Linked DNA regions of Mus musculus. The protein of the gene in region 1 interacts with the protein of each later gene in a biochemical or structural test. Links are inferred from orthologs where the notes say so. Each region holds a gene or a part of one and is shown on either strand. Other genes may lie near its edges.

Region 1 (9,259 bases):
TTTAAAGAAAACAGAGCTTTTACCATTTCAAGTGACTTGGACTATATCAAGAGCTATAAAGTAGAGTCACTTCTACACTGGCAGCTAGTGATAAATGACTGGCTTTGCTTGTCATATCGAGCTTTCAAAAGAACAGAGTCTATGAGACTCTAGGAAAGACCCAAAGGTCATAGGTGACCTAAGTCTTCAAGAGGCTCTCTGCAGGACTATTCCATTGAGAAAAGCGCCTTTTCTGAAAGTGACTTCTCTGAGACCATCTTGAGGTTCTATGTCATGTCTTGTGTATTTTATGAAAATTGTAAGGGTTCTCTTTTACAGACAGCTACTCCTATTTAAAAATCTCAGCCCCTCTCACACTTTTCCTCCTCATTCCAGGGAAAGTATGGACCAAAGCAAATCCCTCTTCGCCAGACCAAGGGAGCTGGTACAAAGGCCTCCAGGATGAAGGACACACTTTAAAGACATTGTCTAAACTATGTCTCAATTCTTAGTGAAACGCAGAATTTTTATGAAAAGCACAGTAAGGGCTGGTGAGATGGCTCAGTGGGTAAGAGCACCCAACTGCTCTTCCGAAGGTCCGGAGTTCAAATCCCAGCAACCACATGGTGACTCACAACCATCCATAACGAGATCTGACTCCCTTTTCTGGAGTGTCTGAAGACAGCTACAGTGTACTTACATATAATAAATAAATAAATCTTAAAAAAAAAAGAAAAAAAGAAAAGCATAGTAAATGATGAATTGGAAATGAGTGGTGAATTATCAAGCTCATTGATTAAACCTTTCTGCAAAGCCACTCTAAAATCATAATTTGCCAGAATAAAGTAAATATGGCTGCTGTCCATCTGATGTCTTCTTCTGGTGGCCTCTCTTTTTGGTACAGTTGAAGAATGTTTTCACTATACCCTTTTCTGTGTTGTTCCCAGCCTCACTTGTGTCTCTCTGGGCCTGTTTGTAGTAAGTACTAGTGCCCCGGGAGCTGTCCGTAGCCACTGTAGTGTGTGCTCGCTGGGCTCAGGTGGAGGGCTTCACATCTAACATGAAATTTCTCTCTTGTGCATCTCTTGACTTTCCTACATTTATTGACTTATTGGCAGTGGGTGCTTTGTGTGCCAGCTCTCACACGTGGAGGTCCGAGGACAACTTGTGGGAGTCAGTTCTCTCCTTTCACCGTGTAGATCCCAGGGATTCAACTCTGCTCATCTTTCTTTGTGGCAAATAGCTTTGTCTGCTGAGCCATCTCAGTGACCTTATCTCTTGGGAATCTTTTTCTTTGACATTTAATCTTCTTTTTCCACTTAGGATGAAAGACAAGACACTAGCTCAGAAGGAGTCTCCACTGTGGAGGACCAGAATGACTCTGACTCCACGCCACCCAAAAAGAAAACTCGGAAGACAGAGAATGGAATGTATGCATGTGACCTGTGTGACAAGATATTTCAGAAGAGCAGCTCACTGTTGAGACACAAATATGAGCACACAGGTGTGTGGGGGACCTGGGCACGAGGTTCTAAAGGTGCCTGTGGCCCAGTGCACATGAAACATGCCCATAGTGTGTGACGTTCTCAGCTCTGCTCCGTGGTCTCCACTTTTCACATATTCCTACTGCGGAGCAGTGGCTTGGCTGTCTGCTGCCTAGACTCCCGTTTCGCCTTTAATGCCTTGGTGTCTATGCTGACAGAGCACTTGCTCTGCATACCTTCATTCCTTGCATCTCAGCTTCTGCTGCACACAAGGTGCTGAAGTGTCAGGAAGAGGACTCAGCTCCAGAAAGCAGCCAGTGAGCACCAGCTCTCCTGGTGCAAGGCTTGCCTCCTGGTCACCCAAAGGTTTTAAAAGGAAAGACCTTTGCTTTGTTAGAAAGAACTTCTGCATAAGAAACTGAACTTGATTTTAAGATCACTTCAGCCCAAAGATTCTATAATTCTCCCCAAAATACACAGGCCTTAGGCTGATCTAGGACCAACAAACAATGTCTTGCAAACCAAACAAGGCTTCACTTAGCTCTCTGATGCTTATGAGCCGAGACTAGACTTTTACATTTTTTGTGATTGAAAAGGATTTTTTTAAAGATAAAAGTCAAACTTTGGCATCCTAAATGATGTTTTATTCTGCCCAGTCATCCCTCACTTGCCTGTTGCTGATTACAGTGGGGATAAAGGCCAGCTGGTCCCAAGACACTTTACTAGTGAGGGCTTTTACGAAAGATGTTTGCTGATGTGCCCCTCCCAATTCCCTCTCTCCATAGCCATGCTGGTCTATTCTAATTTGTGTGTCTTTATGGCCTGGGAAGTCCAGATAAGAAGTATGTACCAACCCCTGTCCATGACTGACCTCAAGCCTGAACAGCTTTCAAACAACTCCAGAATTCCCATAGTTTAGCAACAGGCTCCTAGCTGATAAGAGCTGCATAGCCAACCAGTTTCTCTCCAACAAGATGGCTAGATGAAAGACTGGTTTCATCGTAACTAATCCCCAGGATCTTTTCCCTGGCCCTTACCAGCCACTTACCTACAGTTGAAGTAGCAACACACAGACCCTCAGCCTCTCACCAACAATGGTAACTCATTCCCCTGGTGAGAAGACACGCAGAGAAGCGGGACACTTGGGTGGCTGCTGAGGTTGAAAGCTGTACCTCTCTAATAAAAGCTTGGGACCACAGCCCTCTACTTATATTCACTGAGATAATTAGGAAATCTCCTAATTCTTTAAAAAGAGTTAAATACTGGTAATATCAAAATTAAAATGACATCCTAGCTGTAAAAAAATTTTCAAAAGTAATTTCTGGATTTTTAAGTGTTGACTGGCTCATAGCACTGTAGTTGGTAATAGCCAGTCCTGATTATGCCAGCTGTCCTCTGTGTATCCACTGTTGCTCAGGCCACACCCACTCATGAGGGGCAAGATTGCAGCCTTGTGGGGCAAAAGCTATTTTAGATGTTATAAAGAATTTCCACATCAGCTCTACATTTGTGAAAATTTGCCCATAAGTAGAAAGAGCTGTGAGACATCAAAATGCCGTGGAAGCCCCTCTTCCTGAGATTGTCACCCTGGCTCATGGGAGCCTCACTTATAAATGTTCTGCCATGTGGTCCTGATGTATGAATTTTTGGCATTTCCACCTTTTATAATTAGCACTGGCCTCATCTGCAAAGCAGTGTATAACCTTGAATTTTCACATAGAAAAAAATGAACCATAGTATTATCGTACAATTGGGAACCTGCCAGTTTCTTGACCATGGAACTGTGACCCTCCCCTTGCACAATCTGAATGTCCCTTCATTCTCCCAAGCACTCTGTTTATTTCTGCCAGTGTTCTGTTTCATAGCTGCGTTCTTACCTTGCAGGTAAGAGGCCTCACGAGTGTGGAATCTGTAGAAAGGCATTTAAACACAAGCATCATTTGATTGAGCACATGCGGCTGCACTCTGGGGAAAAGCCCTATCAATGTGACAAGTGTGGCAAGCGCTTCTCACACTCCGGCTCCTACTCTCAACACATGAATCACCGCTACTCCTACTGCAAGAGAGGAGCTGAAGACAGAGATGCTATGGAGCAGGAAGACGCTGGGCCCGAAGTCCTGCCGGAAGTCCTGGCGACTGAGCATGTTGGTGCCCGGGCGTCTCCCTCACAGGCTGACTCGGACGAGAGAGAAAGTCTGACAAGGGAAGAAGATGAAGACAGTGAAAAGGAGGAGGAGGAGGAAGATAAAGAGATGGAAGAATTACAGGAAGGAAAGGAATGTGAGAACCCACAGGGGGAGGAGGAGGAGGAGGAGGAGGAGGAAGAGGAGGAAGAAGAGGAGGAAGAGGAGGAAGTGGAAGCGGATGAAGCCGAGCATGAGGCAGCAGCCAAGACTGATGGTACAGTGGAGGTTGGAGCTGCACAGCAGGCAGGCAGCTTAGAGCAGAAGGCCAGCGAGAGCGAGATGGAGAGCGAAAGCGAGAGTGAGCAGCTGTCTGAAGAGAAGACAAATGAAGCTTAGGAGTTCTTCTAAAAGGAAATTCTACTTGGTAATGAAATTTGCTCTATATTACCCACGCTTTTCATGGAAACATGGCTCCATGGCTCCTGTGCTATGGTTCCTGCTCACTACTGTGTAATGTCAGAACTGAAAAAAAAAAAATTCCGGGTGTGCCTGAACCTCAAACCTAGTAATTTTTCATGCAGTTTTCAAAGTTAGGAACAAATTTATAACATGAAGCAGCTTAGAAAACATTAATGACTCAGAAAACAAAGGTTTCTCAGCAGGTTACAGGAGGCTGGATGGGCGTCCGGCATGGCTAGCAGTATTATCACTCTTACGTTGGCTCATTCTTAAGCTCTACAATGGGAGAAATTTTATAATTTTTTTATTGGTAAACATATGCTAAATCCGCTTCAGTATTTTATTATGTTTTTTAAAATGTGAGAACTTCTGCACTACAGAATTCCCTTCACAGAGCAGTAGAAAGCAGTTCAAACCGTGCTGGCTACCTGCTGCTACCCAGTCAGTCAGGAGATAGGACCTCTGACGTTAGATGCCGTGTTGCCATCTAACATGTATTGCTAGCCTTAAGGAAGCAGCCAGAGAAGAGCTGGAGTTTCTTACTCGTGTGATTTTTAAATGGAGTTCAAAGGTTGTCGTTGAGTCCTGACTCCAGGGACGACCAGTGTTGATGTGGCAAGGCCGGCAGAGGCGGCAGAATCAGTGTTCGTGATTGTTTGCGTACGTTAGCAACCATGAAGGATCTATAGGAAGCAAGCGCTGTGTCCCTTTGGCCTTAAGCAAGACCTGTGCTCTAAGTGCCATTCTCAGTATTGCAAGGCTCTGACAGCCTTCCCGCAGTGTGGCCTATATTAACTAGCAGTTGTTGATTCGTTTGTTGTGTCAAAATTCCCAAACAAAACTCAAAACCACTGACTGTGAGAGAAGCTGAAGCACTGGGGCATCTCACACTTTTGTTCCTCAGTAGTCATTTCATGTTGATTGACTCTCAGAAGTCTCTACAGAAATAAAAGGGAAATTCTCCAAACTACTTAATCCATGTACTTGCGTGTCAGGCATGGATACGCTATTGGTTTTTGGTTCACAGCCGTTTTCCAAATGTTAGTTATTACGGACCCAGGTGATGAACAACAGCAGCTGATTTTTACCTACCAGTATTATTTTATTTCTTTTAGTTTATAGATCTGTGCAACATTTTTGTACTGTATGTCTTTAAGCCTGGCAGTATTAATACCCTTCTTACTGACACGTACTTTTAGTTTTAGAAAACTTTTATATTTATGTGTCTTATTTTTATATTTCTTTATTTATTACACAGTGTAGTGTATAATACTGTAGTTTGTATTAATACAATAATATATTTTAGTATGAAATTTTGGAAAGTTGCTAAGATTTACAGTAGAGATGCAGTTGGTTCCCGTGCGTTGAGATTTGATTTAACAGTGTTCTGTTAACATTTATACTTGCCTCCGACTGTAGACCAGCCTTTAAATGGGAAGGTATTAGTTTTACAACTACAATCAAGTCATTCTCCCTTTCCCCAGTTTTTAATAGGAAACTCTTACACTTTGACACTCACTGTGTGCGACTCATAGCATGCCGCTCTGCAGTCTTCTGTTAAGAGTTGGCCCAGCCATAACTCATTCCCTTAGCAAGCCAAATTAGAATTGCCTTCTGTAAACAGTGTTGGGAACAATGTTTAACATGTGCCAATTTGTTCCTGTATCCATGTATGTAAGCTACCAATCTGACTCTTCCTTTTAAGTTCCTTGTTACACCATGGTCATTTTCTAGTTTTTTACCAGACTCCCCAGCTCACAATAAACGCATCAACAAACCTGACCTGCTGTCGTTCTTTGGATCATCAAATTTCCTTTGGAAAATTGTCTATGAAGTGGGCATTACATCCTAGAGCTTCATTCATCTTGAGCTGAGTTTGTTGACACAAAGTATTTGAGACACTTAGCACAAAGAATGCCTTTTCCTGTGGGGGAAATTCCCTGAGGAAGCCCTCTGCACAGGTTGTCCCTTCTTCCAAAACCCACAGAGCAAGAGCCTTCCCCTCAGGGAACATCAGGGCTGTGCAAGCTTAAGATGCTTTTTGCTTGTACTCTGCCACTCTTTGAACCCTTCTCATTCAGCTCAAGGACTGTCACTGATGTTCCTCCCCATGTCATGGTCATGCCTCATGTGCCCCCTGCCCATGAACTGCCTCTCAACAGACATTCATTGAATGAACACAGAAACTGCACATTTGCAGAGCTTAGCTGTGCTCACTGTTTTGCCTCTAATCTGAAAGTTCATAAGGTAAATGATTCCCATAATGTGCCGGTGGTCTTGTTTGAGTCTTATAGGCACTTACCATAGGAGATGTAATAAATGACTGCCTTGGAAGCTGCTCTGTTGTTGTGATGTGTGGAGAGCTTATTTCTAGGTGTCTTTCGGGTGCTCAAGTTTATGGTACGGGGTACAGGCATTGAAAGCTCAGGGAGGGACTACCTCGAAAATACTTGATAGACCTGGTTCTGACAGAGTTAGGACACACATCCTATGCCAGGACCCCACATTCTTACAATCTTGTGTGCTCCCCATCTTCCCACACCACAGCCCTTACTTCCCCTGTGTCCACTGTCAGCAGACTGCCTAATTTCCTGTCCCTAACACCAGCTATACCAAAAAAAAAATGTACTGTAAAGGTTATGAGATGCTAAAGTACCATTCTTAGGGGATGTCCACTACTCATGAAAGTAAATCTTGGAGAAGATGGTGCCTCATCCGTGAGCCTAGAAGGCTAATGAAACTAACCACATTATCAGGGAGCAGGTCTTTCCAGTGCCCCCTCACACCAGGAAAGAGTGGCATTGGTGTCCTGAGATGCATCTGCCTTGCTGCTTTTATCAAGATTATGTTTCAGAGAGCCTTAAAACTACCTGGGAAAGCCATATGGCCATAGCCACATGAAGAAGACGTAGAATGGGGCTCTGCACACAGACCTGTCTGACTCCAAGGACATGTCTCTGTCCAGCCTGCATCACATGTCATGTTGAGGTGGATTCTCCTGGCCTAGCCCTAGGCAAGAGGAATAGAAAATACCCCTGAGAGCAGCATGCATCCTGGCAGAGGAAGGTGGAGACTTGGGATTGTTCTCAGTTTCCAGTGCAAACTTGAAAGATAGCCTAAGGGAGGGAAAGGGGTTAAACTCACAGAGAAATCTAATCCTGGATTCCACCTGAGATCACCGGGAAGCTATATTAAAGCAACCATGTATTAATTCTACCTCTGACAGAACTTCAGACCTACAGACACACCTCTGCCCAGTAAAGACAAATTCACCCAGAACACACATTTATTTACCTCAATAACTCCTGGGTCATTTACAGGGAAAAAACATAGGGCATAACAGAATTCTCACTTTTGAGATGGAAACCAGCCTAACTACTCAGTGGTTAAAAAAAAAACACCCAGAATGCCTGACGACCTGAGTTCCATCCCTAGCACTCCAGAATCCCAGAACCCACAGTGGAAGGAGAAGACCAACTCTAATATTGTCCTCAGACCAGCATTTGCATGCCATTCATGCACACACATAAACTAATCATAAAATTGTTTTAAAACACCCATAGATCAGTAATAAATACATTTTTAAATCATCTAAATTATTACAAAGCCATATCAAGTTGTTCCTGATGAAAAATATGACTCACAATGATGGCATCTTATGTCAAAAATTGTAGTATAAAGTTAAGTGATATGTACAAGAGAAGGCACAGTGTTAAATGCTGACAACAGGAGAGAACAAAGGACTCATACAAGCCTCCACCTCAAACTGTACAAGTAAAACACAAAACAGGAGAGAGCCGATAATAAGGAAAAGAGAAAACCGTGACATAAAAAAGCCATGTAAACCAAGTCAACCTCTGAAAAGGTAGATTTCTAGCCATACAGTCCGAGGTAGATAGAAGAGACAAATTGCCAATCTTGACAGAAACAAAGAAAAGCCATCTACAGACCCTACAGAGTAAGATACAGAAGGAATAACTGCATGTCCATGTTTCTGACAGCTTGGGGAAAAGTGCCACATTGCTTGGAAGGCCATAATTACCAAAGCTCATGCAGAAATAACCTAAGTGCAATCAAAACTAAATTGATTGCCAAAAGCGTCCTACAAAAGAGGATTCACAGCAGGTGTTGCTACTGGTGATTTTTTTGTTTCATACATTTGAAAAAGTTGTACCAATTCTACACAAATCATCTCCTTCTCCAATTGCCTGTGAAGCTCAGATCAACAAGGGCATTTCAATACAAGAGCTACAGACTTAAATTCCTCAAGAAAATAGATGGAAAGACCTTCAACTGAATATTAGGACATTACTTTGAACACTTTATCAACAGGAAAAATGAATCATGATTACGTGTGATTTTTCCCTAAAACTTCAAGATTCATGGAGCATCCCCAAAAGTCAAGTAGTGTTACTCCCACTAACAGTGTACTTAAGAGTGCTTGGAGATTCTGATTATCTCAGAAGTGAAAGAGAAACAATCAATAAATAAATCAGTAAAACCTTCAACAGCAAGCCAGAAATTACCAGCAGTCTAAAAGTAGGAGGTGATCTCTGTAATAATTGTCATCTTCAAAACCTCTACAAGTAAAACACCAGTGTGAAAGGCCCACACCTTCCTCCAGATGAGGAGCAAGACCAGAAGGTTACACTGGCTAAACCTTAGGCTGGGTCCTTTAAGGACAGACTGCAGCAGTATGTTACCTGCAGTCAGCCTAGTTGTCTACAGAGGAAACAAGGAATTTTTAAGGAAAGGTCAAGAAGTTATGAGAATTCAGTCACTTTCTCCCAAATAATTCTAGATGTGGGAATTTACACATAGACACAGTTCCATTAAAAATGAAAATATTTGGTGATACTTTAAAAGATTCAAACAAGACCTGTGCACTGAAAGCTCCAAAATATTACTGAAATAAATTAAAAATGCAAAGAAAATAAAATTCCATGTTTGTGAATCAGATGAAGACAGTATTAAGAAAAGTTTTACCAAGGTAACTATTGACACAATGAGATAACTACTGACACAATGACATAACTACTGACACAATGATGTAACTACTGACACAATGATGTAACTACTGACACAATGATGTAACTACTGACACAATGATGTAATTACTGACACAATGACATAACTACTGTCACAATGACATAACTACTGTCACAATGACGTAACTACTGACACAATGATGTAACTACTGACAGAATGCTG
Region 2 (10,235 bases), on another chromosome or scaffold:
TATACATACCAGAGAGCTCAGCTTCTCCTTCAGGTGGTGGTCCCCACTGTCCATCCAGTCTTCCAGGGCTGGGTGCTTTTCCCTCTATTATTATTTCTGGTTCTCTCTCCCTCCCCAACTCCTGATTATTCTCTCAGTGAGTATATATTTTGTTAAGCTATTCCCCAAAAAGCTAAGGAGCATTTCATACACTGTCTCTGGGGGTGGGGTGGGGAGGAAGCTTTATCATATTGTATTGCAACACTGGGCATTTAATGAGAGCTTGGTGAAATGTGGAAAAATGGATTCCTAACAGGGTGAACAGAGCAAATAATGAAACTTGCTTTTGCATTCAACAAACATTTATTAACACAAAAAGTGAATAAGGCTTGTCCCTCTGCTCTCAGGGTCTGGTGCAGAGAGGTAGACAATCACAATGCTACAGTAGAATCACAGTCGAATAAGTATTATTCATCGAGGTATAGACGAAGTACTTTGGAGGCACATAGGAGAGATGGGGATGGGGACTATCTATTTTACGCCTGCATAGGGGATCCAGGGATGGTTCCAGAGAAGTCATCTGGGAGTTAGTCTTGAAGGAATGAAATCACCAGGTATTCACTAAGAAAGGATCCTTGCAGGCTGGGATAAGGCCAGGGAAGTGTGGGATTCAGGGAAGGAGGAATGGGGGTGGGGTGGGGGTGGGGGGGTGGGCATGAAGAGGGATAAGGAATTAGCAGGACCGTTAAACACAAACTCAGAGTTCTACTGTAGAAATGAAAATATCTTGTTTCCCCATGAGACAAAAGACTGAAGGCAGAGAGGGTGGGAGTTTCCTCAGTTAAGGGTCCCTGCCACTTTTTCAGCCAGACCATGGGGCTAAAACACCAAAAGCCAAAGCTTCACAGTTATGATCTAATTTCTCTAAGCCACAAAATTATTAAAAGCCTTCTTTCAGAAGCTAAAGATGTTCTAATAATGAGTTCTAAATGGGAAAAATCTTGATGGCATTACCTTTTTCCGATATAGTTATCTGCATTGACATAAGATTAAAAAAATACATATGTTCACAAACCATTTTGTCTTCTCGCTCTATCATTTATCTCTTTTATATCCATCTATATTTCAATGTGCTAAAGTACAAAATAAAACTTTCACCTTCCAAATATGATCTTATTTACATGTTTTTTTCAGGTGTCAGTTTGTATGAGAATATTCTTTTTAAACTTAAAAGTTGGTTTTTATACTGAAATCTCTGCAGTTGAATTTACAGAAGGTTCTCTCTTAATATCTAAAAAATTGAAATCTTTAAAACTAATTACCTGTTCCCTTGAATAGTTCTAAACTTTCTTCTTTTAAATCTCCTTTCCTGAATTTAACTTAAAATTTCATTTTGTTCTATATACCTTGAAATTTTACTTTTTATATTATTATAGGTATAATTTTTGTAAATTTTGGTCTTTCCAATGCATATATTTTATGCTTTAAATATTTAGAATCCAAATGTTTTCACTTTCTAAAATTTTCCCTTACTGATTTTAAGTTAGTGGTTTTTTTTTCACTAACCACCTTAGAAATGTTCATGTTTCATCTTAACTTGCAAAATTTTAGAAAATTTTTAGAATACTCTATTTCCATACTCTATTTTTACATACTAACAATTTGGAATAATTTTAAATTAAAAACATTTAAAAATATTTCTTCTAAAATACTTAACTTAAATTTTTAACATTTAAAATGTTCTCTTAAAACCTTCAAAAGTGTTTCTTAATTGTTTTCTTTTAAAGCTTTAAAGTTTTTTGTTTAAAATATTTGGTTTTCTCCAGACTACTCTGTACACTCAAAACTATAACTACAATCAATGAAAAACCCCATTCTTAAAATATACCCCCCCACTTAACACAATATCTTTAAAGAAATAAAATGTAATTTGAGAAGATCCTCCTACATGTTGAGACTTCATTTAATTTGCTTTATGTGACCTTTTCAACCTCTCCTCCCTCTGAACCCCCCCCCCCCCCCCAGTTCTTAAGGCTAATGGTCACCGATTGAAAATTCAATGTCTTCCTCCCATAGACTTATGGGACAGGGTAAAATAGTTCCTTTATGCCAAAGTGCCACTTGTCATATATGGTCATTGTCCACTCCAGGTAGATTTTTGTGTTTCTTTTAAGAGGTGCTTGTTGTTGTAATGGCATTACAATTGTCCATCCTGGTAGGCTTGTGTTGTCTCTTTGTCTTTTTCTTTTTTGTTTTCTCTTCTTTTTCACTTTTTAAATTTTTTTTGGTCTGGAAATCATTCTGGATGAGATTATTCTTTCTCTATATCTTGCCTATGATAGAACAGTAGATACCCTTCACTATTGAGTAATTCTTCCATTGTAGCCTTGGTGACTACAGCATCATCACAGCTGAACCACTGGTCTTTTTCCTGTCGGACAAAACTGGTGTAATGGCCACTTTCCAAAGTTCCATGGTGGTTAATTACTGCAAACAAAGAATACTTATTCTCACTGGGTACACACTCTGTTAATGGCTGGCCTTTCATTATGCTTTCTTTAGTAGAAGCCAAGAACGGGGTCATGTCCAGCTCCAAAGGAAACGAGATAAAACTATTAATCTTTCGTCTCTGTTTGCCTAAATGTTCAAATCTTTTCAGGTGAAAGCAGGCCACAATCGGTAATTTCTTCATTGTGAGCTGTTTGGTAGATTCCTGGTAGCTTTGGCATTGACTGCATTTGATTTTGGCACTGCTACCCAGGTCTTCGGGCCTTGTAAACCACTTCAGGCAATCTGTAAGTGAGATGACTCGTGGCTTCTGGCCATCCCTACTCGATGTGCTACTACTAGCCCTCCCTGGAGTATAAGGCCCAGGCAAATCCAAGCTAATGTCCCAGCATGGGTCTATGGTAGTAGAGACACCATGACAAACTTGACATGTTAAATCTGACTGCAGACTACCTGTAAAGATGTGATCTATGATGCAATTACAGCAGTTGGAGTTACCTTCCTGGTCGATACCATCATCTCTGCTGTGTCTATGCAACACATCCAATATGGCAATAAGAAACTCCTGAGCATCCTGTTGTCTGTAGCCTGCTAGATGCTCTGCATGGATCCATATCAGGTGTAGTAATTTATAGGGAATATGAGGACTTTGGTTCCCCGAGTACATAGCTTGAAAAAGTAAAGACATCTCGCAGACTAAACACAAGCTGGGGCTTGTCATCATACATTTGTGCTTATTTGAAAGGAAGAACTCTTTCAGTAGCGGAATGTGAGTAAGTACTTGGACAATACAATTCATAAAGCAAGTATTACCAAGATTAATTAATCCTCTGAAGCCTACAGTATAATACATTGTCTTTTTCCTCCTCTTTTTCTTGGGTTTTACCAAACTGGTCTCCTGATCTTTTGACTCGCAGGTTAATTGGTTTTCTTCCACCTCAGATGCCATCAACTGCTGATAAGATGCATCTCCTGTAGGGGATGATAACAGTCCCAGAATTTTTTCTTTTGTTTCTTTGGCGATCTTTTCTATATCTTTGTCATATACATAATCCCTACACATAAAGCAATATATAACCCCATGACAGAGGTCTACTGCTAAATTGTGTTGCGTTGTTTCGGCATGAATGTGAATATGTTTGTCAGTAAAGCATCCAAAAAATACACAGGACAGACAAGAGTGGAGTCTGTTCTTGTGAGTACTACATATTTGACAGATGCATGACTTTGCCTTACGTTTCCTAGTCTCCGGGGTTCCACTCCAAATGAAACGCTGATAGATCATCCGCAGGTTTCTCTGCCAGTTTTTAGCTACTTTAAAGCTCTCTACATGACAGCAGCCTGTGGGACCCTTATTAGACCCTACCTCCAGTAAACTGTTCTCTGAGCCATCTGAATCCCTAGAGGAGCCATGGTCACTAGAGTAGCTTTTCCGTGTTTGGGGTCTGGGTCCAGGCCTGGATCTACGTCTGGAATTGCGCCAGGCCACCGACCGCTGCTTGGGCAGGGGTGGAGGTGGCGGCGCTGGCGGGGGAGGCGGAGGTTTGGCGGGAGGCGGGGGTGGGGCCTTGAGCCCACGCCCTCCCCTGGAGCGGGACCTGGGCTGGGGCCGAGGGCGGGGCTTGCGGCGCGGGCAAACCGAGCTGGAGCTGGTGTGACAAGCAGCCGGGATAGAAGGGAGCACCTTCTCATAGCTGCCACTGCCCCTACTTGTTAAGTTCTCCGACGTGGGCTTGGGCTCCGGCCACAGCTCCGGCTTCATCTCCTGGGCTCCCTGTGTACCCCGCATCTCGATGCACTCTCAGCTGCCTGCTCCAGACAGGCTCCTCGACCACCTCCCGAACTCCAACAGGCGACAGAGCGGGAGGACCGGGACGCTTCTCGAACGTGGGCCATCGGCTCACTCCCAAGCCTGGGAAGAAACGCGTCTGGGAATGAGCTATGACTATGGGTGGAGGGAGACAGGAACTCGTGTGGACGGCCAGCCCGGCGTCATGGCCGCGGTGCCGTTAGCCTCAGCCCCTCCCCCTGCCGCGAGCCCCGCGCGCGGCCGCGGCTCCGCCCCTGCACCGGGGGCTCGCGTGGCGTGCCGAGCCCGAGCCCGCGGCTACCTGCTCCAAAGGCCGCCAGAACTGCTGGTACCGGGGAAGGAGGGGGGAAGGGGACTGTCCTGAGCTTTAGGGTGAAAAGGATGGCAACTCTTTTAAAAAGGCATAACCCGCTGTCTTTTCGGCGCTCTGTGCAGCCTCGCTTTGGCGCACCTTTTTCTACGTTCTTTCCTTGCATCTTTAAACCCCTCGAGTCAACAATGTATGTTAAATATGGCTGAAAGGAGGTTATCTTTGAAAAAAAACTGACTCAGTGGACGAAAGTGTCCCCTGCCTCCTTTCTTACCTATGCTTCCAGCCTCTACTCCTAAGCGCGCTTGCTGTGTGCCACGCTCGAGCGCCCTCTCTTGCTCTTTCGTGCCTGTGCCCTCACACCCCGTTTCTTGCTCCTGTCCTCTCATTTCCTAGGGTTTCCCCCAGAATTCAGACTCCCTTCACGCGTGACCACCCCCATCCACAGTACGCGACCCCCAAAGTGCATGCTCCCTCCCCGCAACCACCGCAGCTCCCCAAGCCCGCGGATTTGTAAAAAGGTCTGGGTTTGTTACCTGGGGCCCCAAGGCGCGCTTCATCTAGAAAGTCAGCTGCTGCTGCTGTCCAGGCGCTCCTCTGCCAGTCTTCTCTATGACCTCTCTTCGGGGCTGGTCACAAGGGGGCCGCCCCCTGGCCCCTCCCCTCTCCACGTATGGGCCCCCAGCCCCGGAATCAGGCCTCCAGCAGGGATGAATAGTACCGCTGTCCCCCTAGGCAGAAAAACCCCTTCTGAAAGGGATTCTACCAGAGGTAACAACAGCCACAGATTTTAGTAAAAGATCTTGGGAAGGCTCAGGCTTCATCTGGTTATGGCACTCTTAAAAAGAAAAAAAAAAAAGAAAGAAAAAAAAGAAAAAAAATAGAAAGAACGGGGGAAAAAAAAAACCCTGAAACAACAACAACAAAACTAACCAAGGTAGGGTTAGGGATTCACTAAGATGGCAAATTCTACAGTGTTCCTTCCGGAAGCTTTAAAATTAAAATCTCAAGAGTAAAGTGGAGAGGTTATTATTTCTGAGTGTTGGGGAGAGGAAAAATACGCATATGATTCAGGATAAAATAGACCTCAGCCCAGCAACATGCTGTTCCTACAGGGATAAACTGTAAACACTTAGAGCTCATCGGTCAAAGGTGAAAGATCCTAAGATGTTTACACAGAGTGGCAACATATACTTTTGGTCACCCCTTATATTAGTAACCCTAGTATTGGGTGTTCAGGTTAAAATCACTAAGTAGCACATTGCAGGGCGTCAGCACACTTAAGAACAATGCTATGGGTGAATGTGTAAACCCGGAAGAGGGTGATCGGCCTCACAGAGATCTTTCCAGAACTCAGAAATATTTTATCAAGTTCTCTCCACATATACCCACATACAGTGGCACAAAAATTGTGGGAGAAGTATGCAAATAAAAAAGACTGGAATCAGGAAAATATATATCTAAATATTTGCCACATTGTTTCAGAATCAGTTAAAAAATTCTTCCTACTGAAATCTATCACACTTCCCTATTCCAACCTGGGTCTCCACTCCTAGAGTTATCTCAATGCATTCAGGAAACCAACCCAAAGAGAAGATAGCAGCCACAGCTGGCCTGACACTTATTATGGGAACAGTATGATCAATCCCAAGTTGAATAACTAAAAACCATGGTTCAGTAGTATGAATGGGGAGCCCAAAGGGACACATTCCACCCACTTCCCAGACTTTTTGTCTGTATCCAAGGAATGTGAACATTACAAACAGAGGCTTCAGATTGACATATCACAGACACATTCTAAAACAGCAGTGACTCAAACAAGGGAAGCAGGAAGATGGTCAAAAATTTAAATAATGTAACTGTCTAACTGTAATTTGGAGTGATCAAACCAAACTTGTAGAATAATAAAACATACAAAATGACGACATTTCAGCAGTAGGCTGCTTTCAGGACCTATAGTCCTCCATCTCTCTGCCTCTCTGCATCTCTTTCTCTCTGTTTCTTTGGCTCTGCCTCTGTCTTACTCTTTCTCCTGTGTGTGAGTAGGAGGGAGAGAGAGACAGAGAGACAGAGACAGAGAGAGAGAGAGAGAGAGAGAGAGAGAGTGTTAAAACAGAGTGAAGTCTCTCTCAGCATTAACCTTTGCTTGCACACTGCTCTTATCCAGGCCACTTTGACTGATTCCTTGCATCACTCATTGGAGACTCCAGCAAATTAACATCCTCTCCATTAAGGGGGATGTGTGTGGGAACAATTTTGCTTCAAAGACCAACATGGTGTAGATGTGCAGACACTGGTAGCCAGGACTTCAGAAATGCCATGACTTTCTGTGGCTGTGGCCAGCTCTGTCAGACAAGAACCTTGCATTGATTAATCCTTACTCTCTGCTGTCCACAAGGGGGAAATGTCCATCACACTTTAAAACGGCAGACATTATATTGTATGATATGATGTGTGAGTTCAGCCTTTCTAAGAGAAAGGGATTTTATAAGCTTCTGGGTCTTTGGACTTTTAAAGTGAAAGGTGGGACAACTAGATTCATGCTCTTGCTACAGGAGTGGAGATGATTGTGTGTCACTTGGCTGGTTCACATGGGGTGATTTTCTCTCCTTAAGGTCTGAAGCTGTATGATTTGAAGACGTGAGTTATTTTTGCTATATGAATATGTGATGGCATTGTCCACATAACATGAAAGAAGAGAGGTAGAGAGTAGGGCCCCCGTGATGTCTGCAGAGATGAGCAACCACTTGAGGAGCCACAGATCAGAAACATGACTTCCTATCAGCCCCATGTGTGCTTTAATCTTCAGTGCTTCCAAGTGTTAAAGACATCCCTCGTGTCCGCACTTTAAAACATCATGGCACAGTCAGGCTGACGTGGCAACATCATTTCTGCGGAAGACAACAATGGCTGCCACCACATAGCGCCATATCCCAACAAAACAAAGCTGGTGCCTGCATGGTGTGAGGGAAACAGGAAATGGCCATGACCTTTCAGTCTGAGGGTCCCAGAATCCCAGGTAAGCAAATCAAACACTTTATATCAGTACCAAGAGTACAAGGTGGACACCCGGCTAGCTGGGTCAGATCTCTCTATGCTCTGTGATGGAGCCTGGCCGAATGAATGCAAGTGGACCGACCCTTTGACATCTGCCCAGTCGTTACACTGTGCTCATGGGTGAGAAGAGTCATATTTATTTAAAGACAAAGGATCTAGCACCCTTTCTCTTTTCTTTCTTGGAACAGATGGCAGGCATCCTGTGTGGCCCAAGCTGCCCTTGAGCTCACAAGCCTCCTGCTTCTCTCTCCAGGCACAAGGGTGATAGGTGTGTGGGGTCATACCTGGCAATCATTCGCTTCCTGTGTTCTTGGGTTCATTAAAGTCTTCAGGGCAAGGACAATTGTTACCTTCCAAGATGAATGACCTGACCTAAACCTAGGGGGAGAGTGTTGGTGTGATTCAATTGAATTGATGGATATTGCAGGGGTGGGATGTTCTGGGAAACACCACTATAGCTGGCAGGCGATCCTAGGCCTTAGAGATTCAGATCATGGCCAGTGACCACATACTCTCTTTGTAATCTTCTAATCCAGCAATGCAAACTGCTGTTGCCACAGAGCAGTGGAAGAGAGGAACAACATTGAGTATTGGTTCAGTGTGACAAATCCAGGATCACTCAGAGGTCTCTGGTTTGAGTGGGACCATGGTGTCTCATGGCAGGGTGTGGGGAGGCAGATTAATGACCACCATCCCCCCTTAGTGCACCTGATACAAAGTCCTTGCAGCTTTTGCTGCCTTGGATTCCAGTGGAGTAGCTGGAAGTGGTGATAGAAATCAGGATGCTGTGTCCCTGAGTTGGAGGTCTAGAGTTCGGTGAATAGGGGTACCTTCCTTCTGACTTGAGAATCTGTCCATCTTGCTTGATTTTCTGTCAAACTCATAAGTTAATAAATTTTACCACCCCACTCTCTCTCTCTATGTGTATCTGTCTCTGCCTCTCTGTCTCTGTTTCTCTCTCTCTCTCTCTCTCTCTCTCTCTCTCTCTCTCTCTCTCTCTCTCTCTCTCTCTCTGTGTGTGTGTGTGTGTGTGTGTGTGTGTGTGTTTGTACATATGTTTATCTCCTTCAGCCTGAGTTTGTGTGCATGTGCATATGCCCCTGGGAGGTCAAGAGCCTGTTCATGGAAAAGAAAGAGAGATTGAGAGAAAGAAACAGAGGGAGAGGGTAAAATCACAGCTAATCAAGTTACCAATGTTGTGCCAGTACGTGTGTGTGTGTGTGTGTGTGTGTGTGTATTCAATATATAATTTCCCTATGTGTCAACAGGGACATCAAAAGCACGGAGCCCATTACATAAAAACCACTTGATTAAAACTGAGGAAGACATTCGTTTCCTTCCATGATTATGGATTCTCAGCTTTTGAGGATAGTTTCTGGTATCTGCTGACATCCATGACTGGAAGAAGGCCTAGAGACTTGAGTTTGGGTAATATTTTCACTGGCCCTTGTTCCCCAGACAGGGCAGTTTTCCTGTTTCCCTGTCTCAAATTCTGCCCCCAGTGTGCCCTTCACAAATCCAAGGTTTTGTTTTCAAATTTTCAGTATATTCTTATGGAAATTTTCAAGCACATGAAAGCAGAAAGTGTGCTACACTGCAATCAGTGAACTCCATGTACCCATTAAGCTCAAGAGTCATCAGGTTCAGCGATGATTAACTTTTTCAGATCTTGTTTCATCTTTCTTCCATCCTCATCCCACTGCCTGAGCCCTACTAAGGAGCCAAAGATACACATCAAGTCCCTTCCTCTAGGAATAAACAGATAAAGACATTGTTAAACATAACCTCTGAACCATTGCACAGTCCCAAAAGCCAGTCAGAGTTACTCAAAGGCATCAAAGGTCCATAGCCCTCTCTAAGCCCCGGCTGTCTCATGGGCGGTTTTCAGGGGATGTGAGGATGTATGCCTGGCCCAGTGTTCTGTATGTCTCCTAGACACAGAAGCAAACACATTCCTCATTTGAGGGAAGGACAGTCTGTTGCCCTTGGGAGGACTGGGGGAAATTGCACAGGATTTTTGTTTACAACAACATATTGGGGCTGAGAGGAGTCAAGGTATCCCTGTCTCTTGAGCCCCATGGTTGACAGTGGACACTTCTGGAAGAACACTACTTCTCCTGTCTGCTCAGTTGTGTCTTGACTATGTTGCTGGAGTCAGCCTGTTTGTAGTAGGTGAGGAGAGGAAAACAAAGGTCCTTAGTAGGACCATATGCCTCTCCTGTTCCCCAGTGGATACATAGGAAAGAGGGGTCAGCTCTCCCAGAGCACAATTCTCAGGCAGCACAAAGGAGGTTTTAATAGCTCTCTGTTGTTTGCTCCCCTGCTGATGCTTCAGTGCACCAGGATTGTGATAAATCCCCAGGGGATCACCTGGAAACTTTGCTTGTCCCTGACCTAAGGGTAAATATTCCAAATGGGGTGTAGAGAGAAGGGGATGGCCAAGGACTTTTATCTCAGTTCCAGGAAGAAAGAGACAACTTAAAAATTCCACAGATCCATTGAATCTTGACCTATGCTCTGAGGGTCACAGGTTCTCTAGAGAATCACAGTATCACCTGATCATTGGGACAT

Evidence for each region.
Region 2: the proteins of Zeb1 (region 1) and Usp51 form a complex in vitro, tested with the Homo sapiens proteins (2 studies listed by BioGRID). The link is inferred for Mus musculus from reciprocal best matches to the Homo sapiens genes ZEB1 and USP51.

The regions. Positions count from the first base shown.
Region 1 is NC_000084.6:5,769,082-5,778,340, forward strand, and holds the end of Zeb1 (zinc finger E-box-binding homeobox 1), read left to right. Parts: intron 1-1,302; coding exon 1,303-1,483; intron 1,484-3,347; coding exon 3,348-3,985; 3' UTR 3,986-6,387; downstream 6,388-9,259. UniProt on the Homo sapiens protein: Acts as a transcriptional repressor. Inhibits interleukin-2 (IL-2) gene expression. Enhances or represses the promoter activity of the ATP1A1 gene depending on the quantity of cDNA and on the cell type.
Region 2 is NC_000086.7:153,001,453-153,011,687, reverse strand, and holds Usp51 (ubiquitin carboxyl-terminal hydrolase 51), read right to left. Parts: upstream 5,220-10,235; 5' UTR 5,144-5,219; intron 4,400-5,143; 5' UTR 4,277-4,399; coding exon 2,291-4,276; 3' UTR 2,227-2,290; downstream 1-2,226.